Nothobranchius furzeri: one gene and its partner. The protein of the gene in region 2 interacts with the protein of the main gene of each other region in a biochemical or structural test. Links are inferred from orthologs where the notes say so. Each region holds a gene or a part of one and is shown on either strand. Other genes may lie near its edges. The genes, in order: rxraa and nrip1b.

The links.
Region 1: the proteins of nrip1b (region 2) and rxraa form a complex in vitro, tested with the Homo sapiens proteins (2 studies listed by BioGRID). The link is inferred for Nothobranchius furzeri from reciprocal best matches to the Homo sapiens genes NRIP1 and RXRA.

What each region holds. Positions count from the first base shown.
Region 1 is NC_091746.1:41,860,695-41,877,523, reverse strand, and holds the start of rxraa (retinoic acid receptor RXR-alpha-A), read left to right. Parts: upstream 1-6,244; 5' UTR 6,245-6,509; coding exon 6,510-6,537; intron 6,538-16,829. UniProt on the Homo sapiens protein: Receptor for retinoic acid that acts as a transcription factor.
Region 2 is NC_091750.1:42,795,833-42,812,389, forward strand, and holds nrip1b (nuclear receptor-interacting protein 1), read right to left. Parts: upstream 7,837-16,557; 5' UTR 7,610-7,836; coding exon 4,016-7,609; 3' UTR 3,784-4,015; downstream 1-3,783. UniProt on the Homo sapiens protein: Modulates transcriptional activation by steroid receptors such as NR3C1, NR3C2 and ESR1. Also modulates transcriptional repression by nuclear hormone receptors.

The DNA of each region.
Region 1 (16,829 bases), on a different chromosome or scaffold from region 2:
GGATGTAGAAAATGGTAACTGGTGTTTAGTTCTCTCTACTTTCATCCGGCCTGTTATTTGATTACGTATGTGTATGTTGGGTCCTCCTTCCTGCCTCTGTGCTCGTCTCCAGCATTCTCCGTGTCAGCTTGTGTTGATTTCCGCAGGGGAAGTTGCCTCATTGCTATCCCAAGACAAAGCCCTTACCCTAGGGGGGTTAAGGAATGTGAACCCGGGACATTGACAATTGGGACCTTCCTCTTGGGGCAGACAATGCTGAACACCTCCGAAGGACCTAATGATCCTAAAACACTTTTAGGCTCCCCTTAGCTCACCTTTTTCTCTGCTGTGCTCAGTCAACTGGTCACATTTAAGTGGAATCAGATTTTCAAAGACAGATGTCACTTTACACCTAATCATTCAATCTGCTTAATGTTTTTTTCTTCTCTTTGTGAAAGTGGGCCATAATATTTTTGCCCAAGTATGTGGGTGCTCTTTGATTGCTTTAGCAAACTATCTCAGGAACCGCTGGTCATGTATTTATCAAACACTGAAATAGATCGCTAGCCCCATTTCCATTATCCAAACTTCCAGGTCATTATCCCGGACCTACGCAGCACGTACATGCCTTTATTTCACGGGACTGGACCAAAAGTACCATTTTCTGGGCCGTTTCAGGGATCATCCAAGTACCTGAACTGAGGCATGAACTTGTCAAAGGCCTGATAGAGTTGCTGATTGGGACTTGTGATTAACTAACTCAAAAATCTGAACATGGTGCAAATGTTCATTTAATTCAGTAATTCAACTTAAAGCTGTTATGGTGAATCTACAGAACAAGCTAGGTTTTGGACACAATAGCCTAGGGCACACGGAAGACAGATGTGCTGCGCCATGTCACACCCGCGACGTCATTTTAAAAAGAAGGCATTGTAGTTACTGACAGTGGCTACACAGGGAGCACAATCCCATGCCCCAGAAACACTGATCCGCATGGAGGCGCTGAAGACAGTGCCAGTGCTACTTCAAGCGCGGCTGTTTACGAAATCGTGGAGTATTTTACAACAGACATTACAACGCGGAGCGGCTCTGTGGCACAAACCCAACTGCCAAAACAGGGACGAGGAGCTTATGAATGCTACTTGATTACAGTATTGATAACTTTAAAGTACTATTGATTTTAAAATATTCTAATGAATTGCGTACTTACCCATTTTTATGAAATAGAGTCTCGCAAAGCACGGCCAATCTCTCTTCCAGCTGAATTCTCTGTCCTGTTCTCGACTCCCGCGTGATGTTGTTACTATCGCATGATTTTCCAAGAAACGTTCAGCGGCATAGCGAGTCGTGTGTGACCATTTGATTTCCCAAAACTGCAGCGTTTTCATGGCGCAGTGAATCTGTCATCTGTGTACCCCGGGCTAAACACGGTCACAGGACACTCACCCATCCCCTCGGGTATCTTCACTGAGACGCTTCTGCTGGAACTGAAAACCCGCAATGCTAGATGAAACTAGACAGCACTAAACACCAGTTACCATTTTCTAATCCAAACATCTTTTGTTGTCCGTGACTTCAAATGATGTTTATCATTTTGGGACTCTGGTAGTTTGTCCTAAAGTTGAAGCGGTAGCAGCTGGCTGTTTCTTTTTCTCTGATATTGAGTGGAGAACCTCTCTCATCAGTGGTGTGATCTGGCTAAATACATGAGTGTGTAATGAATGGAGGACCCAGGGAATTGCAGCAGTTCAGCCAGACCAACAACCGGATGCTTCAGTAGATGCTTTTGATCCAAACTGTGTCATTGGCGGCAGTTTTAGACAAATGAGAGAGAACCACTTTATTATTTTTTTTCTTCTTTCTTTTAATCCCCACAATATATTCGTAGCTATGTTGATAAGATGCATGAGTAAAATGTTTTAAGCTAATTTGTTTTCCAAATTTGACATTGGAGCTTTAAAAGATGAAACTAATACATGAGATAGACTCAGTTCATGCAAAGCCAGATATTTCAAGCCTTTATTTGTTGTAATAGTGATGATCATGGCTTACAGCTGATGAAAACCCCACATTCAAAACCTCAGAGAATTAAAATATTGTGAAAAGGTTCAATATTCTAGACTCAAAGTGTCACACTCTAATCAGCTCATTAATCCAAAACACTTGCAAAGGGTTCCTGAGCCTTTAGATCAGGGGTGTCAAACATACAGCCCGCGGGCCGGATCCGGCCCGCAAACGGGTTAAATCCGACCCGCGAGATGGTTGTGTAAACTTTGTTTTCATACTTTACAACGTAGAGTGAAAATAAACGTATCTTTGTGAGCAAGTTTTCTCTGTAATGAGTATAAATAAAACAAAGTTGCGCTCAAGGCTCACACAAGAACGTGAGTCACATCCTGAAGTTGGCTGCCACTCAGGATGTGACTTCTGATACTGATGTTCTGGTGAAAGCTAAAAGATGTTAAGTAAAATGAGTCAAATATACTTTAAGTGCTGCATGAAACTGATCTAGCCATGTGATCTGTAAGCTCTTTGAATCACTGAGGAATGTTTTTTTTTTTTTTTTTTTTTCAAATTTTCAAGTAAACTTCAGGTGTTGTACTTGTACTAGTTTGGATACACTGTCCTCAGGCTCCAGCTTTGTTTTATATTGATTGTATTAAAACAAAGAAAACAATCTGAAGTTGTTTTTAATTTACCGGTCCGGCCCACTTGGGACTAGATTTTCCTCAATGTGGCTCCTGAGCTAAAATGAGTTTGACACCCCTGCTTTAGATGGTCTTGCAGTCTAAGTTCAATTACTGAAATAAATTGAAGTGTTACTGTTGAAGCAGGATGGAAAGATAGAAAATAGGCAGCTGCTTTAAAATAGTTTCTAACGTAGCAGAATCCCTCCCACAATGTCTGGTGCTTTCTTTTGCTATAGAGCACCCACTAAAATGGCCTTTCTGCTGATCACTGAATGCTGGTTTTTAAGTCTCACAGCTGATCTCCCATTGCCCTGAATGGATTAAATTGTGGCAAACTTTGAAGAAGAAGAAGAAGAAGAAGAAGAAGAAGAAGAAGAAGAAGAAGAAGAAGAAGAAGAAGAAGATCTTTTCTAAAGCGCCTCTCAAGATAAAAATCACGAGGCGCTTCACAAAAACAAAAAATGTAAAAATGTTAAAAAAAAATTAGAAAATGATTAAAAATGTATTTAAACTGAGCAAAAAATAGACAATTGTGATTAAAAATGTAAAGAAAGAGAGAGAGTGAATAGGAAAGAGGGAAATCAGTGGATCCTGAGGAAGGTGGAATAGGTAGAGGAGAGCAGAACAAGGAGAGGGTGAAGAAGGTCATACAAAAGGCAGCTTGAACAAGTGAGTTTTCAGCAGCTTTTTAAAGGAGACCACTGAGTCCACTGATCTCAGGCTCAGGGGGAGGGAGGTCCAGAGTCTGGGAGCCACAGCGGCAAATGATCTGTCACCTTTGGTCTTCAGCCTGGTGCTGCACAACCAGTAGGCTTTGATCACTGGACCTCAGGGACCTGCTGGGGGTGTAGGGACTAAGAAGATCACCAATGTATGATGTGCTTGTCCATGTAAGGCTCTATATTATTGACACAATAAAACGTTTTTAATGGCATTAACGCATTAACATTGATGCCTTTTGGTGCTGATCAGCGAAGTCACCCACTGCAGCAATAGTGATGTACTGATGACTTAGTACCCTAAATCTATCTATTTCATCAAGGAATGTTAGGCTTTTCATTTTAAATTCAACAAAAAGGATTGCGATCTGGAGTGATTTTATCATGAATTATAGAAACAGACAAAGTATTTAACCAACTTTCACCTTTTTGATTTAGTCAGTGATTTGTTGGGAATGATCAAAACCTATATTTGTACATTCCTCTGAACTGAGAACTGTCGTCAAAGCCACAGAAAGAAGCCATGATGCCTTCTACGAAAGCACAAAGGACACCAAAAGGCCCATTTATCACCCACTTAAAGAGGAGAGCATGGGGGGACAGACTGTCAAAGCAACCCCAGCAAAGTGTAACGTAACAGCGGTGGTGTCCCATCCCCTGAGGCCACTTAACACACCGCATGAAGTTAAGAAACAAAAGGACATAACTGAGCAAAGATAAAGCAGTTTAGATGTGAGCGAAGATTCAAGGCCACGGCGACCATCACACCTCAGGCGTAGAAAAGAGCTAAAGGAGCCACCAGAAAAATTATGTGGATGAAGGTGAAGGGTCAGGCTGCTATTAATCACGGCTTGAGTCAAGGATTAAATAGCTCGATCCAGACGAAAGATGAGAGAAAGCGTCCAGATTGAGGTGTTTAAAAGGATCGTCTGCCTTATATTATAGATTAAGTGCTCGAGGCAAAACAGCCTTTTGAACTAAGCACAAATATAACTCACTGATCATCCAGCAATCATGATTAAAAAGTGTTCAAGCAGCGGATAGACGAGGGAAATATTCAACAAAGAACCAAGGCAGAATCAGACACTATCATTCTTTCTGCTCACATCTGCAGCTCTGTACAAAAACACACCTTGGATCGGTGCCCATTCAAACTTCAATTTACTCTTTTCTTACACACTCGTCTTTGATCTCCAGTGTGTCATGGCTTGCATTTATTATGAATCACACTTTATTAAAAGCGTGGCAAACACCTTTGAGTCCTTAATAAAAGGAGGCTCGTAACAAGAGAGCCAGAGGAAGCGGCCCTGAGTGAGACCGGACATGGAAAATGTAAAACCTGCCATGTTAGAGGAGACCAGGTGCACACAGAGTTGTGACTTGTGTAAACGGTTGTGTTTAGAACTGTTTAAGTCAGTATCTTAATGGGGCTGCAACAACTGCAACAGACTGAGAATGGCCTTTGAAGAGGAGTTTCCAAAATGTCTCAAAACATTTTGAAAATGTTTACAACTTTCAAACTGGTCACAGAGTCATTGGGGTCATGAAAGTGACAGAAACTCCATCTACAAATAAAACATAATGTTTCTAAAAAGTTGTTTTACTGTTCTTTAGATTCCTTTTCTGGTGATTTCTTTTGGAGGGTATTTGCCTGTGCCGCTTGTAGCTCTAAAGTAATCAGTTTCCACATCAACCATACAACATTTAACATCTAAGCAGCGTGGATCATAATGGAAATGTGTTCCCCACGACCACGGCGGCTCGTCCCTTCCTGTCGTGTCACACAGCTCCTGCAAATGCATTTCTGGGACTGTGTGCCTGGTAGTAACCAGGGGTTGATGAATGGCCTGCATCTTTCTGAGTCAGAGGACTCCAAAGCGCTTTACACTACATGGAATCATTCATTCACTCACACAGCGATAGTGATGAGCTACATTGAAGCAACAGCTGCCCTGGAGCAGGGAAGGGGAAGTGTCTTTGCCCAAGAACACAACTGGCACTGACAGAGCCTGGGTTTGAACCAGCACCCTATTAATTACAGGGCAAACTCCTAACCTGATCTAAGGCAGTTCACCCTCCCCACCTGTTGCTGTGGTCAGAGGGACTGGTTTTTCATTAAACTGTTTACCAGCCCATTCCTAACGGTAACATTCCTAAACCCCTTTTTCATTTTTCGTACAAAGATATTTGCTATGAATGTGCCTCCAATATTTATTTAAACTCAAGACTGAACACATGATTGTTGATCCAGAGATCCACCAGTAATTCCAAAGTCCAGATATAAAACTGGATGGGATCACTCTTTCCAGTCTGTTGCACCTCAATTATGGAATAAACAACACTGTTTCAGCAGTCTGGAGTCATTTAGACTTTCTGATTAAAATGTCTTGTTTTAGTAATCTGTTACTGTTGGTTTTTTAAATCATGTTTTAATTGCAATGCTCTGTTATTGAGGCACTTTTATCAGTAAAAGACAAAAATAAACGTAAGTTTCTGACTTTTTTCTGTGAATTAGACTCAAATTTAAAGGAAAGGGAGTAGAAAAATCTGTGCTGAGCCAACACTCCTGGTTCAGCACATGTGACCAGGTCAGAATAACAGGAGATAAGAAATGAATAGGTAGCTGCCGCTCAGCTGGTGTGGTGCAGAAAACCTCCAACTGGCGAAAAACTGCGCGTTTCTTCTAGTCCTTCTCGAGGATTCCACATGTTGCGTACCCAAGGTCTCATCGTTTTTTTTTTTTTTTTTTTTTTTTTTTTTTTATTGTTTGCGCCGCGTCGCTGCAGCCCGGAGCTCGTCGGTGGGAGTACCCCCTGCCTGCGCAGGTCCCTCTTTTGCTGAGCCGTTCCAGTAGTTGGAGTTGTTGTACAACCGGAGCGCGTCACTGAGCTGCGAGCAGCTGAGTGCGCAAACAGAGGCAGAAACGTTAGGTTATCTTCTGATACGGTCACACATCGACCTGCCACTTCTTCTGCCGCTCACAGCAGCAGTGGAAGAAGAAAGGAGAAGCAGCAGCAGCAGCGTCCCGGTCCGGCTCGCGGAGCTCGAGCTGCCGCTTGTGTGGGAGAAAACTCCCGAACACGCTCGCCTCAGCTGGCATGAGCTAACCGACGACTCCGACATGGAAACCAAACCGTTCCTGTCATTGGGTAAGTTTGTTTGTTTTATGACAAAGCCTCGCTGAGGTGTTTGTAAACGGATTTAGTTGCTCTCGCGCCGCGTAATTCTTTTGTTTCTGTTTTGACAGCGCGTGCGGCTCACCCACATGTTTGGAGCTGCTCACGCGCTTTTATACATCTCTTTAAATGTTGCTAACTGATAAAACTTTGTGTTTTATCGTTTATCTGAGAAAGAAAAGACCCAGATAAGTCAAAGTTAGGTTTAATTCCTGAAGCAACTGAGTGAGCTGATGACAACTCTGATAAGAGCTCAGACTCGCGTTCGTTTCAACTTCTAAACGTTACAAAACAAACTACTTTAAATGTGGGCCTATTTTTGTTTGTTTGGTCGCTTTAGATCATAAAAAATGAACACATTCCATTTTTAACCAGCACCTAAACTTCTTTTGAACTTACCATTTCTGAGAAAATGAACTTAATACTCTATTTTGACCTAAATCTGGAAGGACTTAGCTTTCTCATAAGACGTGTTCCTAATATATAATATAAGAGACCACTTTAATAACGTCGGTGTAACCATTGATAGGTGCCGGTAACCTCACATGTGACCTCTGCACTTAGCTCAAAGTTTACATCTGGACCATGTTTTATGGATGACGTTGTTGAGCAAAGCGTTGCATGGATCATTGTGCAAGAAATGGCACATTTTATGTTCAGCTAAAGCTTATTTTGCACAAATGTCAGTTTATGTTCATTTGAAGCTTCCGGCACATCAAAGTCAGGAAGATCCAGGTGTTTAATCTGAGGTCAGATCTAATTTGCACTAATTGGCCCATTGACGGCCCATTGACTCCCCAGCTTAAACACAGGCACACTCACCATGCTGTAAATCATTAACACTGACTGCTACTGTAAGTTTGCTAAAGTGAACACAGGAGACCCTTGTCCCCCCATACCCTCCCCCAGTATTGTGTCTGCTGCCTTTCTTCATAAGAGCATCATGTTACACCTTGACACACATCACCAGCTGCATCAGGGAGATTCTCAGGGACCTCCTGAGGCACTGGGCAGCTTTCTTCAGTTACAGGCTCTGCTCACTGACACTCCCGCCACAACACCCTTTATGTGGCTTCCCAGAAATACGCTAAACCGCCAATGCTGCACACACTGGCAGGCTGTTATTGCAGGTGCATTGTATTGTGTATCTGTAATGAGAATGATTAGAGTTTCATGCTGCCTGAACGTGCACTAGAACTGCCCATGACAGCATAAACAGACTGGAAAGCTTTAATCTAACAGTCTTTAATGGTCGGTGTAAATCTGAACCCCTTTTCCACATGTGACAGATCTTTAGTGGTATTCTCTTTGAGTCTTTAAGTGATCATTTATGTTTGAAATCACACCAGCAAAAGCAGAATGTTCCTTTGGTTCTTCAAGGACACCCTTAAAGTCCTTGGATTTATTGATTATCCGCTTACTCAGAGTAATTATCTAATGTCGTACTCCATTAGAAATCCTGACATGCATCTTTTTGAGATGACAGCGAGCACATTTTACAGTTATAGATTGGTTGTTGGCCGTGATGACGACACCTGGCTTTTGGCAGCTGATGCTCTGTACTGCATGTGTACTTTGTGCTGATGTGGTCCCACCATCAACTATTGCCCCCTCCCTGCACGTGCACACACACACACACACACACACACACGCACGCACGCACGCACGCACGCACACACACACACACAAACACACACACACTGACATCAAGCAATAAAGACCAAATGGATGACATTGGAAGGAGAGTGTGTCCTTCCATCCCAGCATTAGAGGGATGATCATGACAGTGTGTCAGTGAAATCAACAGTGAGAGATGCCAAAAAAAATCACAAGAGAAAATACATTTAGTCTGTTAATATTGATTTCTCATTTGTTCCATTGCTTTAACCAAATGTATCAACACCAAGCCTACTTTCTCTTCTTACAATAGTCATTTGTTTAATAACATTTATAGTCTTGTCAAATCTATCTTTTTATTTAAAAGCATGTAAATCACAGTAAACTGCACAATGACTGTCTCATTCTCAAAACTATGATCACCCCTGGATTTTTAACGTTGTTTAGACTATAAAGAACCAGTTTTGGACACAAAAATAATAGAAACTGTGAACAAATATGTTGGAATTCTGCAAAAATGGCGACACTTTTCTAATAAGTTTCATCTGAGTCATGGGGAGCATGACTCACCTGTGACAGTTGCACAACTGTTTTGTAATGAAGTCACAAATTGTCTTACTACACTAAACTGAGAAGTGTTCCAGACGGGGTCCACCGCTTACTCTGACTTTTTAAATGAGGAATAACGCTGCATTAATTAACACCAGTGCCCTGCAACTCACACAAGGACTTTTTGAACTTCCGCAACTGTTCTTGGACATTTTTGAAATTCCCTGTTCACAATATTCACCATCAGTCACATGAGGGTGATATTCTGGTGTGACACCTTTTTGTGTCACATTTTGAGTATGTTAAGATCTGGAATCCCATAAAACTTGCCTAAAGTTCTCAGAAAATGACTAACAAAGGTTGTTAAAGTTACAGTGAGCAGTTTCCAGGTCCTTCGCCCTAATGGTTGAAAGTGGAATCACAACTGCCGTGAACAAATCCGCTGTAGTTTGCTGTAGCTAGTGCTAACAACAAGCTAACACTAACATAAGCAAACTAATAATAAAATAAGCCACAACGTAAAAAGATCCACACTGTTGGACAAATATTATTACTTACAAGTTCAGTAGCAACAAAGCCAGGTCACTATCAGTCTATGATTTCTTCTTGTGCTTTTTTTTGAAAATGGGCAAACTGAAAATGCTAACCGCTAGTGTCACAGCGGTAAAGGTAAAGAGCGCCCTCTAGTTTGTGATCAGAAGAGAGCTGCAGAGAGGTGCCAAATAGGAGGATCTTTTGTGATGTCAGTATTCATGTTTCTCTCATTGCATCATGGGACGTGGGTGGCAAGAAACAATGCATTTTGCCTATAATTTGGTTGTTTTGCATGTTTGGAGGAGGATTCAGAAAAAAAAGATGGATCATTCTTGCTGTGTGATTGATAGCTCGGCCCGTGGGAGGCTTGATAAAAAAGTTTTATTGGAATTTCCTCTGTAAATGACCGCAAAATATGAAAGAGATGATAGGAAGCGATCCGAACTCTCAGAAGAAAGCCTGGACTCCTGCAGCAACGGACAGTTTGAGGCTCATTTAGTTCACGGTGAGTCCATGTAACTAAGTAAGAATTTGTTAATTACCGAAGATTTAAAAAAAAAACATTCATCTTTGTGTAATTTTAAATCCAGAGTCATGTTGTATTTGCGTTTTGAATCAGGTGTCAACCCGCGATCATAATAAATAAATGAATACTGATTAATGAAGACTTACCCAGCTTTGCAGTTGCAGTGAGGATATATCCTTTTTCTTTAGCCATCACCCACAGATGACGTAAACAACGCTGTGACTTTCCTCGTCAGCATTAACTGCTGCAATTTGCATGTCCATGGTTTCAGACGAGATCGGCTCAGCTTTCCTTAAAACAAAAAAATCGTAGGCCTCCAGATGATTGAAGATCTTTAATTTTTCATTAGTGAAGGGTCCAGTGCTTCCTGTTGAATAGGAATAAATGTCTCCCCAGCAGATTTGTGGAAAAACACTGGTGAATCGGACTGACGTTTTCTGTCATCCCAGAGGTCCTATGGACTTTTAACAACTTTAATTTTCTCTTTGATAAACATTTTAAGCTTCTCTCTAAACTTCCTCTTGTCTTTAGACTAACTCAACGATCACTGAGATCAGTGTTAAATCTGTTGTTACTTTAGGGATGATTGAAAGGGTTCATTGGCTTTATCTGTTTGGTTATAAACCACAACAAAGGGTCATAAAAACAGAATATTTCCATTTTCATTCCAACATTCAGTATTATAAATCATCAAAATGCCTGAAAATAAAACAAATAAAACAAAATAAAATACCAGAGCCACATGTTTACTAAAAAAAAGTATGGTGATTTGTTTTTGTTTTCTTTTTTGGTCTGATCTCGGTTAGGAACTGACTTAAAGCCAATTTCAGAGGGAACACAGAACTAGAATAAATAACACCTGAGGCTAAATAAGAAATGTCTAAAATTAAGAAATTATGATGTAGACATTTAGATATTATTCTTAAATATGAATCAAATCTATGGCGAAATACCCAGGAACAAGATAATTCATAAGGTTTCCATACAAAGCATTATTAAATATCTGTACGCTGACCTTAAATGAAGAATAAATGTAAGACACAGTCAAGGAATTTTAATGGACATGATTTGTTTTTCTGTAGAGCTTAAGCTTTTAGCGTTTCTTTACTTCTGACTCTGACACTTTTGACTTTTGGATTTCTCATCACCCTTTTTTCACTTGTCTGAGCATCTGATACCTACATAAATTCTCTGACCCTCATTTCCAAAATCAGTGAAGTTCACGGTCTTTGATGAGAAAGTGAGATTCATGGTGGTGTTTGTCTTAAGTTAGGGGGCTGAGGGCTACATTCCTCGTCTGGCAGTAACTCAGGAACAAAGGTAATACAGGGTGTGTGTGTGTGTGTGTGTGTGTGTGTGTGTGTGTGTGTGTGTGTGCGTGCGCACGCGCACTTACGTGCGTGCGTTTGTGAGTGAGTTTGTGTGTGTGTGTGTGTGCATGCGTGCGTGCGTTTGTGAGAGTGTGTGTGTGTGTGTGTGTGTGTGTGACACTGCCAAAAGCATTTGGCCAAGTTTGTCTTTTACGGCCGTCCAGTTTTGTGTTGCTGATGCGATGCTTTTGCTCTCCTTTTGAGAAAAAAGGGGTCCACAGCTGTCATTTTTATTGGAGGAGTTTTATAGCAAGACTTAATGGCTTAAAGTGACAGCTCGCTCTCCCTCTCTTTTCTCCTTTTTTTCTTTCTCACAATCTCACTCATGAGGCCTTTTAACTGAAGCAAGCCAAAGAGAATTTGCTCGCCTTCTGTGTGCCCACCTTTGACTTTCCCACCCCTCACCCATGCTATCATCTAAACTATAAAACATGTTTTTTTATTTTGCAAAATTAGGAAGCACATCAAGAACATCCTGCGTCTTGTTTTTGAACACGTGTGTTGATCATAATTAGAAAACAATATAACTTTATATCTAGAAAGAGGTTCCTTTGGTTTGAGAGAATTAGTATGATCATTTTTTCTCTGCAGTGAATCCAAAACCGTTTTAAAGCTGGACGAATCTTAGGATGACTCAAAAGCTCGTTAATTATTTGTGTAAGGAGCTGCTCTCGCAGGAGGTCTTTTATTGATAATGGACACAATGACCTTTGCACCTCAAACCTTGACCTTTGCTCCCCATATGCTTGATCATTTGAGGAATTTGCCTTTGGCGTTCAGTCCTTTTTTTTAAAGAAACAGTTTAAAGACAGTAACTTGTTGGTCCTTTGTGCCTCACTTTCTTTGATGATTTTTTTCTTTTGTCTACTCTGTTTTTGTTGCTTTGTGCTGTTAGGTTTCAGTCTGAGCTGAAGTGATTGGCATATCTGAAATGAGTCTATAGGAGTATCAAATGGTCTTCAAACACATTTTCTGTTCAAAACACTGAATAAGTTAAAAGTTGGTGTTTACATCTTAAACCCAAATAATGTGTTGTATGCTTATTTTCTTTATAAACAAGCTGCTAATTATTGTTGGGATCCTTTCCATTTACTTATGCTTACAGATGCCTGGTTGTTGCTCAGAGAGCTTTCTCTCCCTGAGTATCAGAATGGTTTTGGCACCGCTGGTTTCAGGGTTTACTGAAGGTCCTCTGAGTGTCTGAATGGCTTTTCTGCAGGCTGGCATTATTCAGGATGCGTACAGCCACTCTTTTGAAGTGGAAACATGGTCTCAGTGGGGATTTGGCCAGATCACACTCATAATTTGTATTGAGAGGAAGGTCAGTTCGCCCTACTCCATCCACAGCTCTCCTCTCTCTTTTCTGTGTGCATCACTAAATGATTTGGGGATTGACTGAGAAAGGCGATGGAGAGGAACTAGAAGTTCACCTAGAAACTCGAGTATGCGTCTTCCCGTGGCACTGGGTCCATTCTGGCCCATTTGTAGGCCAGACGCCTCTTATTGCTGATATAAACAAAATATATATATATATATATATATATATATATATATATATATATATATATATATATATATATATAGTTGACAACTTTTGTTTATACACATACATGTAATCAGGGTCCGAAATTAACACTCGCCACTCGCCAAATGCGAGTAAATTGCTCCATTTGGCGAGTAAATTTTTGAGCTCTACCTGCCACCTGGCGAGTAAATGTTTGCACCAAATTAGTTATGTTTATCAGTCATCTAACACGGATTTCTGATACTTCTCCCGCCTGCATGCAACGTACACAAACGTACGCGAAACGTGAATGCCGCATCCAACGTCATTTCCACCATCCCATTCAGTCAGTTTATCAAGTTAGCCGTTAGCTTCGTGTTAAAACTAGTGGTGAAATGTGGCGGTTTTTAACTGGAGTCAGCCAGCCTTCCAAAAGAAAACTCATCGAACTGGAAGAAAAACCACCAGGACCAGTGGCAACCAGAAGATTTTGTGAAAAGTGGCGAACTGGAGACGGCGGAGTCGTGAGACAATGGCTACATTATGATGGCCACGTAGCGTTGCTGACTTTCACAGACAGCTGTCCCTCGGCATTCTTCAAATATCCAAAAAATGCCCATACTTCCGACTTTGTCTTCTTTGAGGGATAATAAATGTCCCAAGTGCCGTCTCCTCTGGCCATTATTTCAGCTTTAGCTTAAAGAAAGTTTTGGTCGTAAACAACAAAGTGTGCATGTGCCGCCGGCAACTTCAGCAGATGATACGGTGGCTGGTAAGGGTCACCGCACCTACACCGCAGCCACGGTAATCCACCGAGATAATATATATATATATATATATATATATATATATATATATATATATATATATATATATATATATATATATATATATATTTTTTTTTTTTAAACAAGACTGTTATTATTTATTGTCAACTTTTTTACCGGGGTTTACTGCTACACCGGTTACCGTGACAACCCTAGGACACACTTTCAGATATTCTCATGGTGAAGCTGTGTTCTCCAGAGATCAAGGACTAGGACCCAAATGAGGCTGTAATGCTTTGGCACAAAGATGGTGTCAGAAGCAGGAGGCCAGACTTCATGGACAGAGAAAACAAGGAGTTTGACTAGATTTCAATGAAAGAGTTCATAAAAACGTCTCTAAAAATAAATAAATAAACAGTAAAAGTGACAAAAGAGTTGTTTTCCTTATTAATTGATGTTTTAATTATTTTGTCACTCTGTTTGGAATCAACATAATATAGAATAACATGCTTTAGGTAGATCTAAATCATTTATAATTTTGGCCGGTAAAAAATATGCTTGGCCGGTAGATTTTCATCATCTACCGGCCAACTTGGCCGGTGAGTAAAAAATTTAATTTCGGACCCTGCATGTAATTATTGTCCATTTGTCATTATCGAGAGGAACTCCTCAATACACTGTGCTATTGACTTTAGGCCATATTGTCCTACTCCAGCTGATTATTGAGTCCCACTTATTGTATGCTCTGCTCTGTTCTTAGTCTTTTTGATTAGACATGTAATAAAACAATCTTACTTTTCAATCCTACTTGAAAGTAATGATTCATTATGTAAATGATCAACAACCAGTAGGGGTGTGTATTGGTAAGAACTTAGCGATACAACACATATCACAATACGGGGGGACGATATGATGTATTTTGACACTAAAAACCAGACTGAATTGATGGAATTCAATTGGAAATCTCCAGTCAGACACTTTCAAGACACATACAGTGTTAACGCGAGATCTTGTCAGATCAGAATAAGAGCGATAAAAACAGCTGCCACCTAGCTGTGACAGCTGGAATTGCACCACACAGAGGAAGTACAGAAAATGTCTATAAGTAAATTGTAAATAAAGAAAATCGAAGCACTGATTTTAAATACTGAATCAGTATGAGAACACGAAAAATTGTGATATTTCAGTGTACCAATAATTCCTTACATAGGTAAGTAATGTTATTTTTAGGGCTGCACGATGTTAGAAAAGCCTGTGGCATGCAATAACAGTGATTGATATTGCGATGACGATATTACTTGTGATAAATAAAAACTTAACTCAGGAAATAAATTATCAAAAACAAAGAAATAAAAAAAGGGCAAAAGAATCATAAAGATTAGAAAAGCAAAACATTTGAGGAAAGGGAAAAAGAAAATGAACAAGAAAAGGCAATCAGTGGATCCCAGGAAAAGCAAAATCAGCAGAAAGAGCAAAACAAAGCTAACTCAGATGTTTGCTAACCATCAAAATTAAGTGCCGTCAAAAAACATGCTTCCGTTTGACTGACAGAATGCATTATGTGTAGCAAACTTTTGAGCTGACCATTCGTTGTCTGTTCTTTGTGATATGCATATTGCGCATTGCTGATATCGCGATAATGATATATTTGCAATATATTGTGCAGCCCCAGTTATTTTTCATATTTCTTACCCTACAGCAGGGGTGTCAAATATACGGCCCGCGGGCCGGATCCGGCCCGCAAACGGGATAAATCCGGCCCGCGAGATGGTTGTGTAAACTTTATTTTCATACTTTACAATGTAGAGTGAAAATAAACGTATCTTTGTGAGCAAGTTTCCTCTGTAATGAGTATAAATAAAACAAAGCTGCGCTCAAGGCTCACACAAGAACTTGAATCACATCCTGAAGTTGGCTGCCACTCAGGATGTGACTTCTGATATCGATGTGCTGGTGAAAGCTAAAAGATGTAAAGTAAAATGAGTCAAATATACTTTAAGTGCTGCATGAAACTGATCTAGCCATGTGATCCGTAAGCTCTTTGAATCACTAAGGAATGTTTTTTATTTTTATTTTTCAAATTTTCAAGTAAACTTCAGGTGTTGTACTTGTACTATTTTGGATACACTGTCCTCAGGCTCCAGCTTTGTTTTATATTGATTGTATTAAAACAAAGAAAACAATCTGAAGTTGTTTTTAATTTACCGGTCCGGCCCACTTGGGACTAGATTTTCCTCAATGTGGCCCCTGAGCTAAAATGAGTTTGACACCCCTGCTCTACAGTCTTTGCCTTACTCTCTCGTTAAACTAGTGTACAAACAATTTTCTGATAATGTGGGACAGATGTAAGATTAGACCACAGTGGATTTCTCTGTTTACAAGTTCTGTTGTTTTATTTCTGTGTTGGAGGATTCATTCGTATGTAACGTGATCAAAAGCTGGAATAACAGGTTTGATGTTTTTTACAACTCAAAAAAGAAAAGGAATTAGAAAACAGATCCCCACAGTGACTTTTTTTAAATACCATGGTAAATCGAGGTGTGCAAACATTAGTTTACCTGTCGTCTCCACTCATGCATAGTATGTGTGTGTGCATGAACAATCTGGATACACACAGTGGGGTAATTAAGACTGTGCTTCATGCTGCTTCATCACAGTTTCATTTTGAGGTCACTGGCAGTTATGGGAGGCGTCTCGGTACGCCCCACGCCCTCCTCTTTACCCACTACAAAAACCACCGCTGTTAAGATTGTCTGTCACCTTTCCAGATGCCATGGGGCAGGCTTTCACACACCGCCGGGCACGGGGCCACGGAAAACCCACAGTGTGCACAACACCTTGCTTGTGTTCTGCGTAATGCATGTGTGACTGTGTGGAAATGAGTAAATGTTTGGGTGTAAACAGAAAGCAGCAGCTCTGAGAGCTAAAGGGTGACGCTTGTTTATGCATGTATGCACATCTGCAGGCAGCTTCGGTGTAGGTGATTTTACACTTTCTGTGGATTGCTGTTCCAGGCTCGCTTTTAAGTTTTAACAGTCTGCAGTTTGTAAATAAAGAGAATGTAATGATTTACAAACCTATTAAGAAGCATATTTAACAGGTTTAACAAAGGCTCGTGTTTGATTTGATGCCATCAAATCAGTTAAAACTAGAAACACGTTGTGTGTGAAAGCTGAGGAAATCTGATTTACTTTAGGACTTCTCAACTAGAACTGTTTGCAGCCTTGTTTTAATCTAGAATTCATTATATTATACATCCGGAGTCAGGTGAAGAGGCAGCTGGAAAGACTGAACAGGAACAAGGCTGCAGGTCCAGATGGTGTCAGCCCCAGGGTACTGAAGGCCTGTGCAGAGCAGCTCTGTGGGATTCTGCAGCACCTTTTCAACCTCAGCCTGGA
Region 2 (16,557 bases):
CGCCATGACAACTTACGCCGGGCTTGAATGGCCTTCGTATGGGCAGACAGACCACCTAGAGACAAGTGCAGTTAGTGGTTCACGTCCCTGTAGATGACCTCTGGTCTGAGCACAGTAAGTGCTGTCATTAAGTTGTTGGTCACACAAAAGCATCTAAAGTAGGAAACGACTTAGGAGGCCTGCGAACTTCTAACGCGTGTGGAGGAACGTCCGGAGTCCTTGGCCTACAGTTGGGTCAGCGTGTTCTGGTGCTCGGCTCCGGCATCCACTCAGCCTCCTGCTGAGGTCAGGAAATCAAAGAGACGCTGCAGACAAACAGCCAATTGTTACGTTTTACACCTTGACCTCTGCTTAACTCCTTTATGTTCGCCACCGCCTCAGCAATCGCAAGGAATCGAGAGGTTAGTGCGGTTCAGCCGTGATAAGAATCTCAGAATGGAGAAGCTGACTGGGGGGGAAAGGTTACTGAGAGTTTAAAGAGCACGTAGTCAGTCGGTCACGGGGAGGACTTAATGAAAAGGGAAGTCATCGCTGAGGAACTGCGCTGCATTTCAAAAGTGCGCAGCAGACAAAAAGCTGTCTGTTGGCTCGCTGGACTCCATGTTCAGCAGCAGTTAGAGGAAGCTGAACTCGTCTTCACCTCTGGCATGTGTCACGCTGGAGGCTGAGAAACTCCACCAGGATTCCAACACAAACCAGTTCTCAGACTAAATGATTCAGTGCTTTAAACACAACCACATCTATTATGAATTTTTTGAGTCGGTGTCAGAGACGTCCCCTTGGAGGACATCTGGTGACCTCCATCCCGCCTCACCGAACCTTTCCTGCCTTTGTTAAGACTCGGCTGTGAGGACAGCAGCAGCCACACCAGCAGCACCAGTTTTGGGGCAAATACAGGACATCCTCCCGCCCCACTTAAATAAACCAGTATTTGATCACAGAAAGCTGTTCGGCTTTGATGTTCTTTAAAAAAATAATATTCTTTCATATCAGGCCAGAGTCTGGTGCTGGGAGCAGCAGAAGCCACATTTCCCTAATTATTGTTCTGCTTTATTAAAGATTTCTGTAAAAGCGACCGGCCACATGAAGAACCCTGTAGGACGAAAGACTAATTTCATTTAAAACAACAGAACTTACTCTGGCCTGGTTCAAATCAAAACACTTCCCACAAACATCAGCGAGGAATAACAGACTATTAATCAGTTGCATTTATACTAAAATGCTGCTGAACCTGGAGAGCGCAGCTGATCTGTGATTGCTGAAAACTTTCATGGCTCGGTTCATGCGGTCAGAAAATAATAATAATAATAATACATTTTATTTAAAAGCGCCTTTCAGGACACCCAAGGTCAAAAAATCAGAGAAGCTAAGCGCTAATTTTTGATAAGTTTTATTTGTTCAAAAATCCCCAGATCAGAAGACTTGTTTTACCTTAAAAAAAACTCATATTCCCTCTTAAGCTGATATTTAGAAGCAACACGGAAAAACAAGAAGACATCCATACTAGGTCATGCATTTTAGTACTTTATTTCTGAGATATCAGTGCAAATGAACACCAAGAATGAAAACATTTAAAAAAAAATGAAATATTTCAGGTCTTCACATGAAAAAAGACATTTTCACATACATATACATGTATGTATATATATATACACACATATATATATACATATATGTATATATATATATATGTGTGTATGTATATATACACATATATATACATATATGTATATATATGTGTGTATGTATATATACACATATATATAAATATACATATACACACACATATATATATATACACATATATATACATACACATATATATATATAAATATACATATACATGTATATATATATATATATATATATATATATATATATATGTGTGTGTGTGTGTGTACATGTATATAAATATATATATATACATACATACATATACATGTATCTGTATACATATACACACATATATACATATGTATATATAATATATATATATAAATATACATATACACACATATATATACGTGTGTATGTATATATATATATGTGTGTATATAAATATATATATACATACATATATATATATATATGTATTTAATGATATATGTATATACATATATGTATACATATATATATACACATATATATATATATATATAGATGTATACACATATACATACATATATATGTATATATTTATAGTTTGCTGCTACAAATGTATTTCTTCGATGCACAATGCAGATCTATGATTGTACGTCAATCCCACACTAGAGCCCCATGCTTGTTCACAGAGCTAAGTTAACCAGTAACAGAAAATAAAATCACAAAAATATTCAATGCATGTTTATTTTTCACACACTTTCATCACCTTGCTCAGTCTGTTATATGGAGGCTGCTCGTTTTCTGTGCTAACCTCTCGCTCTGCGATAAAAAAAATCTATTTTAAGACTTGACATTTTCTCCCATCACCAGTAGGGATACACAGGTAGTTCCCATGCGTCTGCATGCAACAGGCAGCAGTGAGGAGAGTCAGACATTGTTACACAACACAGCGCAGGATAGATTATCATTTACCACATTGAGACACATGCATAGAACCAACCAACCAAAAAGAGATGGGTGTAGTATCCTCAGCCTTCATATGTACACCTGTACGCATAGAATTCATATTTACATATCAGGGCATTAAAAACTAGGGTCTTATCTTTTTTTTAAACATTACAAAATAGTAATTTTTCATACTGAAAGTACTATATACACAAATATATTTAATCATTGTGAAAATGTATTAATAACTGCAGACATATGTCATTAATATATGTCATAAAAAGACCACGAGACTAAACGGATAAGCAGAATGAAATCAAGCAGAAAGAATACAGTACAATCAGAAATAAAGAGCTGGATGCCAGACCTCCCTCGAGACACAAAGGCCTTGGTGATTAGTGGGCAGGCAGGGTCACGAATCCAGCTGCTGCTAAAACAAAGTACCGTGGTCTTCTTTTCATCAGCATCATGCAATTCTTTTGACAGTTTATGAACAAGACATCGACACAAAAATAAAACATGTCCATCGAGCACAACAGGAATAAAATGCTAGAAAATAAAATTCACAAACGGTCATTCTCTCTGCAGATAACAATACTGACACTGTTCCATCACATGCCAAGAAATCATTAGTTAAAAAAGGCTCAGTCTCAAAAGTGCAAACTCCAGGTAGTTTTATTTCTATGGCATACACAGAAAGAGGTGTGTGTGTGTGTGTGTGTGTGGTGTGTGTGTGCGCGCGCACAAGGAAAACTGGTGTGAGTTTTACCAGTCTGCTGAGATAAGCTGCAGCCTATAGACTGTTGCTCTAGAAACCCGTTTACACACATTTGCTCAAGTTTAAGAGCCACGCGGTTTCTGTTGACCCATCTGCGCTCATCCTGCTCACGGCATCCTGAATTTGCACTCTTGAATGTCAGCCTTAAAGGTTCAGCACGAATAAAAAAACTGAGCGAATCTCCACGGGTGGGTTCTTTCCCCACAGCCGCGGCACTCGAGGAGAAGCCTCCGTTTCCTCACCGAAGAGCCCGCAGGTCCTCCTAAGCACGAGTGCCGCTGTGCTAGACCACCGCGTCTGCCCCGGGACGGCGCTCCTGTCTAAAGCTGATGAGACTGTATCTGAGAACGCTTTGGTGGCGAAAATAAAAAGTGTGCACTGAAGTGAGCACTGGCATGTTTTGAGTCATCACTATGAAATGTTCTGTGTAAAAGGTTTATGAGAGGCAACAGAGGGAAGTGATGCGTGTGGGATTCACGTGGACCATCGAGACCAAAGCAACGCTGCCTCTGCTGTGACCTCAGCAGGTAGGATTCAAACAGTGACACCATGGTTAAAAAAAAAAAAGATAAAGAACCACACACTTTCTTACAAAACCAGTTTAGCAACTCATCCCCAAAACCAGAAATAAAACCCTAAATTAAATAGAGTCAATGAACAGCTTCTACTTCCTGTGGTGGAGCCACAGTCTTACTGGAAGGACTGGCTCAGCCCCTGGCTCTCGTGGCTGTGCTTGTCGTTGTGTGTTGGTGACTGAGGGGTGGAGCTCAGGCTGCGTTCATAGGCGTGGATGTCGCTTATCTGCTCCTCCTTAACCCTGACCACAGGCTGGACTCCGTCTCCCTGATCGTACGCCTCCTTCCTCAGCTGGAGGCTGCCCTTCTGCAGCATGTAGTAGAGGATGGGGTTAGAGCGAGACAGCCGCGGCGAGTCCGGGTTCGAGTCACAACCCTCCTCCTCTCCGTCGTTCTCCTGACTGCCCCACCGGACCGGGCTCTCGGGTTCCTGCTTGACCAGAGTCGGGGGCTCTCGCTTCTGAGCGACAGGCCATGGAGCCGGCTGGTGGACCCATGGGAAGCGGACGGGGGTGCTGTCTGAGGGAGGGGTGGGCAGTGGTCTTAGATTACTCGGAAGCCCTGAGTTGAGGGAGCCATGGGGGTGCCAGCTGGGCGTGTGGAGGAAGCTGTGGGCAGGCTGAGAGAGACTGTTCCCATTGGCCTTCAGGGCCGCGGGACTGGGCGTCCCACGTGGCTGCTGGGACAGTTCCTTCAGACAGTTGTCCGAGAGCAGCAGCTGTTTCAGAACATTGAAGCCACGGCTCTCCCTAGTGAGGGTCTCGCTTGGTGGAACCTCCTCCTCCTTCAGACTCCTTTGCTGCTCCGGCTCCACTTGAACAGTGGGAGAGGCGGACATGTTTGTGTAACCACCGTCCACTGCTTTTGGAGACCTGATGTGACTCAAACCCTCTGACTGCTCAGGGCAGACACGTCTCCTCTTAGGGACGGGGCTGGGATAGTCCCTCTGCTCCTCCTTCACCTGTGTGGACTGGGACTCCAGCAGCACTGCAGAGTTAGTGTAGTAGGTGGCAGTCTGTTGTTTGAGCAGCTGGCTCAGGAGGCCGTATTTAGCTATGACCTCTGGCGGCCGCGCTTCTGTTTTCAAGTCCTGCTGAGGGTCGGAGAGCTGGCTTTTCTTCTCACAGCCACTCAGTCTCTTTTTGCTGCTAAAGTCCTCAGACCTGGCAGGAGGTGGCCCCGCCTCCTCTGTGAGCTCAGACTTTACCTTCACATCTAAGATAGGTTCGTTAGAGCTGTCACAAAGGACAGTGGTGGCAGGGCTGGTCTCGTAGCACCCCCCAGCTGCCTCAGTACTCCTCCGGTAACCACCACTGGACTTGTCTTTGCGGCTGGTGGTACTGCCGGCCGACCCGGTTCCTAAAAGAAGCTGCAGCACAGTGCGCCTCTCCAGGAGGTTCTCGATCTGTGAGGAGGGAGTGGACGGCTCCTTGTGAATGAAAGGTGTGCCGCTGCCTGATGCTCCATCTGACAGTGGAGTGGTGCTGGTCCGGTGGACTGGAGCATTAAGTCTTTCCATCAAGGCCAGGGGCCTGCTGGTGTCGATCTCCTGGCCCAGGCCTTTGCTGGAGGGGATGGGCGGGGTGGAGGAGGAGGAGGAGGAGGAGGTGGTGGTGCCACACTGGGCCAGATTCTGCAACAGTTTACTGGCACTAAAGGCTGGCTCTGAGGACCTCTCAGCTGGGAAGGCTTTAGACTTACACAAATCTAGTGGGCTGGACTGAACATGGGGGGAGGGGTAAGAATACGGGGAAAGTGCACCACTCGGGTCCTGACTAAAAGAGTAGAGGGACTGGGGCGGACCTGCTGACTTTTCTATGGAGCTTCTGGTTCTGCTCTCCTCCCAGGACATCAGTCTTTTCTGCTGACTTTGAGACATGGTGGCCATAGTTATGTCAAGAGGCAAGTCCTGTGTCCCGCTGCTTTTGCTAGCCATCTCAGAGTTCCTGCGCTCGAGCAGCAGCTGCATGAGAGTGACCTTCGGGTGGGATTTTAGGTCCGGACTCATTTCTGGCTCCTTGTTGTTGGAGACGTTTGATCTGGATGGCTCTGGTTTCCACTTGTTTATTAAAGACTCCGTTAGCTTGTCCAGGGAGGAGGTAGGGAAGGAGGAGGACGAGGATGAAGAAATAGCAGTGGATACAGAGGAGACAGTCAAAGAAGAAGGTGAGTAGGATGAAGTGGAGGGCTGAGCACTGGCTTGAGGAGAGGATGATGCTGGGGTGGAAGACAGCACCATGGTACAGGAAGAGAGCACAGAGGTGACGGAAGAGGAAGAAGAGGGAGCATTTTTGGGCCCAGTGTCTTGTGCACTAGCACTGCCACGACCTCTCATGGAGAGGTCAATTGGGGAACAGCTGGAGTAGGAGCTCTCAGCATCACTGCTGTCCTTGGTCATGCTTCTCTCATGGGTGGAGCATTCACTGTCCGACGTGACAGAAGAGGAGCCGCTTGGAGGCAGAAGGCCACCGATGTCCTCCAGGTGTCCGTTCTTGGTCAGCTGCTTCTGACTGTTGTGGTTGTTCAGCAGCAGCAGCAGCAAGCTGCTGCATGTCTGCGGTGGGCGGACTGGACGAGCATCAAAGCCTCTTTTCTCTCTGGGGGGCTGGCTCGGCGCGTGGGGAGCAGCGGGTGGGGAGCTTTGGCTGTGGCCACGCAGCAGGGATGGGCTCTGAGGACTGGACACTGCCGTCCGAGGGAGTGTTGCCATCATCGTGGTAGTTGTCATTCCATTCTGAGTTGCTAAGGAGCTTAGTGTGTCTGGAGACCCCCCAACACTTGGAGGCCTTTTGTCTGTGTCGTGCTGCTGGCTGGCCATTGCAGCCAGTCTCTCGCTGGCTGATCTCCCTGAGAGCTGGGCTTTGAGAGCATGCTCTCTGGAGTACTGCTGCAGATGTGCTTCGCTGGACAGCAGCAGAGCAAGCTGACTGCAGGCCACGCTGGGCTTTGGTGAGGGGGCGGGGCTAGAACGAATTTTCACCAAGTTAGCCACTGCTTTCAAACGCTCAGCACAGGACACCGACTCAGCAGGAGCAGCAGGAGGCGTGGCGCTGTGTGCTGATCGAGGGGACTCTGGTGGCCGGTCCTGGCTGTGTCCACGGCGGCTGTAAGGGGTGTTGTTGTGATTCTGTAGTTTGCTCTTCCGCATGAGGCCTTTCAAGCGGCTGGAGGCTGTCCCATAAACAGGTAGGGGCTCTTTGTCTGCAGCTGGAGCCTTGGCTGGAGATGGACACTCACTGGTGGGTTTACTAGTGTTCTGAGACAATGCCACATTCTGAAGCTGTGATGTGAATGACTGAAGCAGAGATGCCAACAGGGTGCTCTCTCCAGCATTAGGGGATTCCTCCAGCGTTCCGTTTTGCAGGCCTCCCACTTGGCCATTCAGGTCCATGGGGGGTGAACTCAGCCGCTGGTTCCCCGGATCATTCCACGCTCCGGAGCGCAGCAGGCGAGCCTTCTTCAGGTGTTGTGAGGAACCCAGAGTCGGTCTATTAGTTCCAGCCTTGGGCGCTATTGGAGCATGGTGAGTTAGTGGGAAGGACCCCCCCACCTTGTTGCCCTGTTGCTGATTGCTGTGGACAGCCTCGGACCTCCCGCCTGCTGTGGCCCCAGGCCCGGCCACCACTGGATGCATCAGTAAACCTTCCAGATAAGTTAGAACAGCTGAATCCTTGTGTGTCTCAGGGCCAGGCTCCTCCCCATGAGTCATGTTCAATACTCAGATCCCCTCGTATTGCTTAGCACTGCTACTGGAAAATAAATGTGATCTGGGTCATCTGGTTCAGTCATGCACTGGTTAGTCACCAGAAAGAGGGCCGGTCTTGGCGCCAGGTGAGAACAGAGAAGAGCAGAAGGATGCGCTCGCTGGACTTGGATCGTTCTGAAGAGGCTACAAGCAGCAACGTGCTGAAGAAGCAACCATGCCTGGAAGCAATCTGGGGCAGGCGGCCCTCCAAGGCATTGCTGTATGCCTATAAACGCTGCAGGACCCCAGAAGGCCAAGATTCAGGTTGATGCCAGTAGCAAGCGAGGAGTCAGCAGGAATCCACCACCATGATGTTGACGCATTCCATGGTTGTCTGTTGTTCTGTCAGTGGTGTCTCTGTAGAGCTCACAGCTGAGGGGGGAGATCTATAAAAGTGAGAGATAGAGAGAAAACAGGGAGGGGTGGTGGGGGAAGGAAAAAGGGGAAAAATAGGAAACCATGTGAGAAGCAGGGATTTGCAGAGCACTATATCACATTCATTTCCCCACCTTGTCTGCCATCGCTGTTACTTAGCAACATTTCAGATTGACTGCACACGGCTCCTTCTCTCTGCACTCTTCCCTCACAGCCACCCAACACACAACACATGTAGATGAGCCTTGATTGGATTCAAATTGAAAATTCAAGCTCACTACCTTGAAAACATTCAGGTCTTGAGCTGTAAGCCTCTCACGGCTGTGTCTTTCAAAAGTGAAGGGCCTTCTGAGAGCTGTGCATAATTCTTTATGCAGCTTGCCATTTCACTGGATTAGCCCCCCCCCCCCCCCCCCCCGACTCCGTTTGCAATTGAGCTTCATCTAAAACCACACAACCCTTCATCTAGCTACAGTAAGAGCCACCCACCCACCAACAGAAGCACGCTTGCTTAAATACACGAATGAGCAGAAGTATGAGGACATACAGTCTGAAAACACAGAGGACACCGTGAAATAGTCTCTGGGCATTAAACAAGTATAAAGTATTAGGTGAATACATCTGAATTGTTGCATAATGTCTTTAATAATTAAGGTCTTAGCTCAGGCGCGTGTTAACACAATGCCAAAGAGAAAAATCATCACAGACACAAGGAGCTCCATCTCAGAAGCCTATATTAGCACGTTTAACGTTAAATGGCTGATCAGCTGAAGACACAAAGCTCTTTGTGCTAAAGACAGGGCAGCCGGGCCACGCTTATGTGTGGAAAGTTACCCTTGATCAAACCACAAGGTTTCTGAAGCAGCAACTACTGGGCCATAATGAACAGGATCAAGTCTGGAGATCTGATGAGCTGTGATTTAAAAAAATTAGTAACATCAATGCAAAAGTCTAAGCATCCTCTTATTTTCTATTGGAGATTATTTGCTTTTTAGGAAGGAGCTGCACCTTTTTGCTCTACACCTGACCAAAACTAGGGATGCACCGATGGATCGGCATTTGATCGTAATCGGCCGATAGCGCCCCTATCGGTTTTGATCGGAATTTTCAAAATAGATCAAAGCAAACCGATCAGGTAGAGTTGTCACGGTAACCAGTGTAGCGGTAAACCCCGGTAAAAAAAAAAAAGTTGACAATAATAATAACCGTCTTGTTTTTTAAAAAACTATATTATCTTGGTGGGTTTACCGTGGCTGCGGTGTAGGCGCGGTGACCCTTACCAGCCACCGTATCATCAGCTGAAGTAGCCGGCGGCACATGCGCGCTTTGTTGTTTACAACAAAACTTTCTTGAAGCTAAAGCTGAAATAATGGTCAAAGGAGGAGACGGCAACGCTCAGGAGGACATTTATTATCCTCAAAGAAGACAAAGTCGGAAGTACGGGCATCTTTTGGATATTTGAAGAATGCCGAGGGAGTTTATAGAAGACGGCTATCCTGTTTGCAGCACGTGCAGAAAAAGTGTCTGTGAAAGGCAGCAACGCTTCAAATCTCATGACACATCTGTGTGACCATCACCCACAACTCTACAGTCAAAGCAAGGCAAGCTAACGTTAGCGTTTTAGCTAAAATGCGTGATCCGAGGATTTGGGTTGAGGGAGAATGCAACGAGTCGCTATATAAAGCAGCCGCAGCGCCGCTACCTGCATATAAACCGTGTCGCGGACACCCCCATGTTGAAATGACGCTATGCATTACGGGGCTCCCAGGGACAGATAAGAGTTGGTCTCTCTCCGAGAATAATTATGAATTTAACAATGATTACTGCCTGATGACATTTTCCCAAATCTGCAAAGCTCACTGGAAGGACACACACCGAGGACAGTATTTTCCTGATATAGGGTTTATTACTCAAGTAAGGGTAAAAAAGTATCTGATTAGAAGGCTACTTGAGTACTGAGTATCATCTGATCTAATATTTTTAAATGACATCAAACAGACATAAAATAAGAAGTTATGGGCAAATATTGGTATTTTAAAGACTAAAGGGGAAAATGTAAACAAATAAACAACATAATTACAAAATAACACATTTTAGGCAAAATTTAGACACAAACTGAGGACAATATTTCCTGACATACAGGGTTTATTTAATTGTGTGCAAATGTATCACGTTTAAAAAAAATACCGCGATAATACCGAAAACCGTGGTAATTTTGGTCACAATAACGGTGAGGTTAAATTTTCACACCGTGACAACCCTAATACAGACCATTTTAGATTAGGTTACATTTCCTTTATTCCCAGATTATGTAGTGTGTAGCACTCATCATAATGTTGTAGAAAATTTCTGGCCAATCCACGTGATCGGTATCGGTGATCGGTATCGGTGATCGGCAGCAAAAAAACCTGATCGTGCATCCCTAACCAAAACAACTTGGGTTTGAAAGACCAGCCAGCCCCATCAGGGAACTCTCTTCAAATAACCCCACCCCTTGAGAATCCTACCCGAGCCAATCAGCGCTGAGCAGCATTCGTCACACACCACAACGCTCCAACAACAAAGATGGCGACTGAAGCGGAGTTCGCTGCGGTTCTTTCCTCTGGTCTAAATGACCTGAACACGTCTTGAAATCCACAACAAGTAGAAGCGCTAAAAGCCTTTCGTCAAAAAAAAAAAAAAAAAAAAAAAAAAAAAAAAAAAAAAAAAAACATGTATGCGCCATTGCCAGACACCATTTTTGACTAAAGCTAAAAAAAACTACACCGCCACGCGTTACAGTTGGCATTTCCGCCTTTTTTCTGATTGGTTATTTCTGAGCTGGCTAGTCCCGCCCCTCATGAGCCTCTCTATCTGTGAGCAACCAGACTCTGTGCAGAATTAAACAGAGGACGAGTCTGGCAGGCCAGGCTAAGCATGAATCACCCTTTGTAATAGTAAAGTGTCTCCACCTCTTGGTGTTGTTGAAAGCTGAAGCTACAGTGTTCTGCATAAAAGTGTACACCCCCTTTAAAAAGTACAAACTTAATCAGCAGCTCAGTGAACAAAAGAACAAATTCCAGAATTTTCACAAGGCTGGTTTTACTGAACACTTGGTTAACTCAATAACATGAAAGTTAGTTTAATAATATAACTTAGATCACAAGATCTTCAGTTCTACTAAAGCTGGTTGAAGCAAACATGATTACACGTTTTGGGTGTGCAAATTAGCAACTACTGTTTGCAATCACTGGGGATTATTTTGTAGCACGGTATCTCATAGAAAATGTTAATTCTGAAAGGAAACTAAAGGTTTTTTTTGACAAATTAATGCTGAGCACTGTAAATTATCCTGCTTAAAGGTGCCGCCATGTTGTGTTTTGGCACTAGGGCATTGTGATGTATATCGTGCCATTAACAGAAACAGAGTCCGTCATGGGAAAGGAGGTTGACAACTACGGCTTAAAGAGTCAAGTTTTACGGACCTGAAATGTTGTCAAGCAGAGGACCAGGATTTCATTTAGTACCGATGAGGTCATACAGAAAGAGGTGACTTTCAAGATCCTGGTTCTGGTCTTTAGGGCCTTACATGGACAAGCACCATCTTACATTGGTGATCTTCTCAGTCCCTACACCCCCAGCAGGTCCCTGAGGTCCAGTGATCAAAGCCTACTGGTTGTGCAGCACCAGGCTAAAGACCAAAGGTGACTGATCATTTGCTGCTGTGGCCCCCAGACTCTGGAACTCTCTCCCCCTGAGCCTGAGATCAGTGGACTCAGTGGTCTCCTTTAAAAAGCAGCTGAAGACTCACTTGTTCAAGCTGGCTTTTGTATGACCTTCTTCACCCCTCTCTCTTTATTCAGCTCTCCCCACCTATTCCAGCTTCCTCAGGATCCACTGATTTCCCTCTTTCCTGTTCACTCTCTCTCTTTCTTAACATTTTTTTTAATCACAATTTCCTATTTTTTGCTCATTTTAATATATTTTAAAACATTTTCTAAATGCTTTTTTATATTTTCACATTTTTTGTTTTTGTGAAGCGCCTCGTAATTTTTATCTTGAGAGGCGCTTTAGAAATGATATTTTCTTCTTCTTTCTTCTTCATGTTAGTGGTTTTGCAATATAAACACAAGTCACTGTTGGACCGCGACTAAGGACCCCCCCACCCCCCCTCTAAAAAAAGAAAAGAAAGAAAAATGACTAAATACACTTCAACAGTATTATTTTTGAGGCTGTCGTTACCAAATACTAAAGGGATAAAGCAAAACAGAATCTATTCTTATTCCAATCTGAAAGCACTTTTATTACGAAGACAACACACACAACTGACCCTGCCTTGGTCTTATGGGACTGAAGTTTACAGCTATGAGATATGAGTAGCAGAGACAATCCACGGATTGTTTGGATGAGTATTACTGGTGGCTTAAGGATCAGGTGCACCTGTCACGGCACGGCATTGTCTGGAGGCCAGAGCTGGTGGCACTGAGACGCACGTTGTGCTAGTTGCCATGACAGTGTCAGAGACGCTGCCCTGAGAGACCTCTGCTCTGAACCCTGTCAGCACGGTTTCCGTGGATACGGGACACCTCCAACATTCCTGGGCACATCCCACAAAGGTTAATTAATACAGAGTCTCCACCCTGGCTCAGCTGCTGTCCTTGTCCTTTCCCAATGCTGTCTTCACCTTTTGTGTGGGCCGAGTGGAACGACGCTGCAGGTCACTTGACAGGAGAGCAGCTCCTGTTTATGACGAAAGGCCAAAGCAATGTCCTCAGCTTTATATTTGAAGCAAGGACCACAAACAAAGCATCATCCTTCTAATCAGGCTCAAATCCATCTCTGTGGACAGCATCAGGTCACAACCAGGTGGGATATGCAACGACTCTATTAAACACCAAATCTAGGATGGTTAAATCACACACGAATCCCAAGTCAGAATATTAGGGTGGTCACCTTTAGAGCTCCACTGGAATTTCAGACGGCAGCATTCCATTTCCAACAGAAAGAGATCGGCCTTTTGGCGTCGTTAATAATTTAAGGTTATCTTTAAACTACGACCTAAAACAGAAAATGACAAAGGCCAACCTGGTCACCCTGGGCCATCTGACGTCTGCCGTCACACTAATCTTAGATGCACTGGATTAGGACTATTTTCCCGCCACTGAGCTTAACAGAGCTATAATGGAATGGCCTGTAAGGCCACGTTTGATTAGTGCAGTAAACATGTAAACATGTTTACCTTGACTACAGCTTGGCAAGATGACTAATATGCAGCGAGAGAGGCTCCTAGTCAGCGAGAGGACAAATGGAAATGGGAATAAAACGCTGACACAGTTTCAACATGGAGAATTCTGTTAATCTGTCTGCTGCCGGCACTGAACCGTTGGAATTACCGTTGACCTTGTTAATGTTTTTGAACAAAGAGACGACTAGAAAGAGCGGACAGGATACTACTGCACTGCTTGGTATCGGTTAACTTACAACGTGACCATTGTCCCTAAAGATTGGGCCATTTTAAACTACCTTCACAGATCATCTTTGTGATTTAGAGTCATGTTCTTCATGATTCAGAAGCTGAATGGTATATATGTTGTGTGTGTGTGTGTGTGTGTGTGTGTGTGCGCTCTGTCTTCTCGATCCCCAGTGAGTCGTGGAGGATGGCTGCTTATACTGAGCCAGGATCCTCCCGAGGTTTCTTCCTGTTAAAAGGGAGTTTTCCTCTCCACTGTCGCTGCATGCTTGCTTAGTTTGAGGATTGCTGTAAAGTCACTGACACTAGTCAGTGACTTGATGCGATCTGCTGGGTTCCTTATACAGGAAACTTTTTACTGATTGGCTTAATGAACTGACCTGTGTTGGACTGTTTGCTGTGTGAAGGTCCTTGAGACGACTCGTCGTGATTTGGCGTTTTATAAAGAAAGAGGAGAATGTGAGACCAAGTGTTTACTCATCATTTATTTTGTTGAGCCCCTCAACAGTGGTCTATAAAACATCAAACCATAAAATGTGCCTAAACATAACAGACAAGCTGGAACAATTAGTGATGAGCTGGAGGGCAATCTGCCCGATCAGGTTTGCATCATCACAACATACACACTCCAGTTAGCGATGGCTTATCCCTTCAGTTTTTCTTTAATGTTAATAAGTTTGAGTCAACTAGCTTCAGAAATAAAATGTTCCTCTAATTATGTCGGCTGTGATGAGGTGGGGGGTGGCCCTGTTCAGAACAAAGTAAAACAAACTCAACTTAATCCAAGAAGTTATGAGCGGCATGTGATGATACGGGCTGTGTCAAAGCACGTTGCTGCAGCAAGGACAAGAAAAACAAACCCAAGCTGTTCACCTCGGTTACAAATGTCTGTTAACAGCCCGCTGACCTTAATACAGGCGGAGGCGTCGTCCTCTACACGGAGCCCCCAAAGCTCCCGGCCCTCCTCGTCCCTTACTGTGAATGTGTGCATTACTATTACATTATCTCCTCTGGTGTATACATGGAGAACGACCTTACACATCTGTTAACGTGTCATTTCATTGGTGGTGGCACCCAAAAAGCCTGACCTCCACCCCTCCTCCACCGCGAGACACCACAGCATCAGTGAGCTGCTCTACAGTTTCTGTGGTGATTATCCATTATCCTTGACAATGTCAGCCAATGACAGAGCAGGCACTAAAGTGATTTTTACCCCTACAGTATCTCACACACACACACGCACGCACTTACACACACACACGCACGCACTTACACACACACACACACACACACACACGGGTGGGGTGCGGCTACATCATCCCCTGGCTGGTTGATTCCTCATTTGTTTGTCTTTCTCCGTTGAACTCCTCTGCTGTTGAGAGGACGGCAGGAACAGGAAAAGGTTGCTGCACTCTCAACCACCGCCCACGATGCACATCAGCACCAGAGAACCACATCATGCCGAGATCTGATCCAGAAACTTATTTACAACAAATCCTCATTCAGATTTTCACCAAACAACGGATGATCACGTGATTTTGACATCTGTTGACTTTGACTGCAGGGACATTTAGACTTAAGCAGCAGATCATTTTATCGTGCTGTTCTGAAAACAACTATAAACTAACACGTCTTTGTTCCAGCCATAATGAGCTCACGGTGAGAGGACCTAAATAAAAACCTGCTGCTGTAAACCCGGTCACCAGTCTGGGACTGGCTTCTGGTAGGTCGTAGATAGCACTTCTGTGTTTTTGTGTTTCCTTGACCCGCTGCTTGGGGAAAAAAACAAACCTTCAAATTCTACATGGAAATGAACAGAGCTGCTACGTTTGGTGAGCGACAACAATAGCATTATCATCTCCACCTCTCAGCCAACAGTCTTCTTTAAATCGTTGGTGTTTCTAAAGGATCGCCATCAAGAATGGTGATCTGGGTTGTTTAAAATGTATGAGAGCAAACTAAAGAATGAAAAGGGGAAAGGAGCCAAAGGAGAGGCAGTTAAAGTCAAGGTCATTCATACCGCCAAGGCTCTTCCACTTGATGCAACAGCTGGTGTCCATGCAAAGCTCTGGGCGTTAATAAAAAGTGACAATGCTGCCTGAGCGGTGTGTATTTCTAATGTCTGACACCAGCCTGGCAGATGTGTTCTCCCTGCATTTAAGGGGAGTCAAGGTTAAAGGAATTTAAAGGAGGAGGCGATGCCTAAACACTATTATATCACGTAATCTGCAGCCTAGTCCTGTTGCACACACTCTACGGGGTAGCTCACTTACACATGCGGCGTGACCGCTATTTGTAAATTCAATATGGTCTGACATGATTAAATAAGGCAGAACATAAGCTGCCTGACAAAATGCAGTTGTTCCAAGACCTCCACAAGTGAGTGGGTGCAGGAGAGGAAGGCAGACTTAAAAGATCTTGCTCAGCCTCGAGAACAGGTAAACAGGAGCGCAACATGCTACCGAACAGCAGCAGAGTCGAGCAAGCAAATGTTTCTGCAGATGAGTCAACTGGGACAAAACAACAGCTGAAAAGGATACACAGAAAACATGCATGCCCACACAATGAGAACTGGGGCACCGTGACCTACTTCTTAGGATGCACTGACTAAAACAGTAACTTCACACACGCACTGGCGCACACACACACACACACACGCACACACAGATTCCAGGGAATAGACGGAAATGTAATACACCAGAGCTGAAAAGCCCAAGCTCCTGGTTCAAGTACCACGGACCATCTATTGATAAAACCATCCTCCTCATGGCAGGCCGTGGGGAAGCTGAGTGCATTTGGTTTGGACTGGGCCAAACTTGATCTGGACTGGGAATTTTCCTGGCCTGAGTCTGGCCTTGAATGAGGAGCACAGAGGTGGATTTTAGCCTCATATGAGCTCGACAGTACAAGGAGTTCTTGAGGTTGAGAGAGAAAACTAAGAGGATTTCATGTCCGCCAACAAGTCATCTAAGTGTATCAGAGCCCAGCTGAGCAGCAGAGGACCGAGGGATGATGTCACCAGGTCGTATCGCAGACCTAGACTTTCTCTCGCCTCGCCTTACAAGCCCAGGTTCGTCCAAAGATGTTG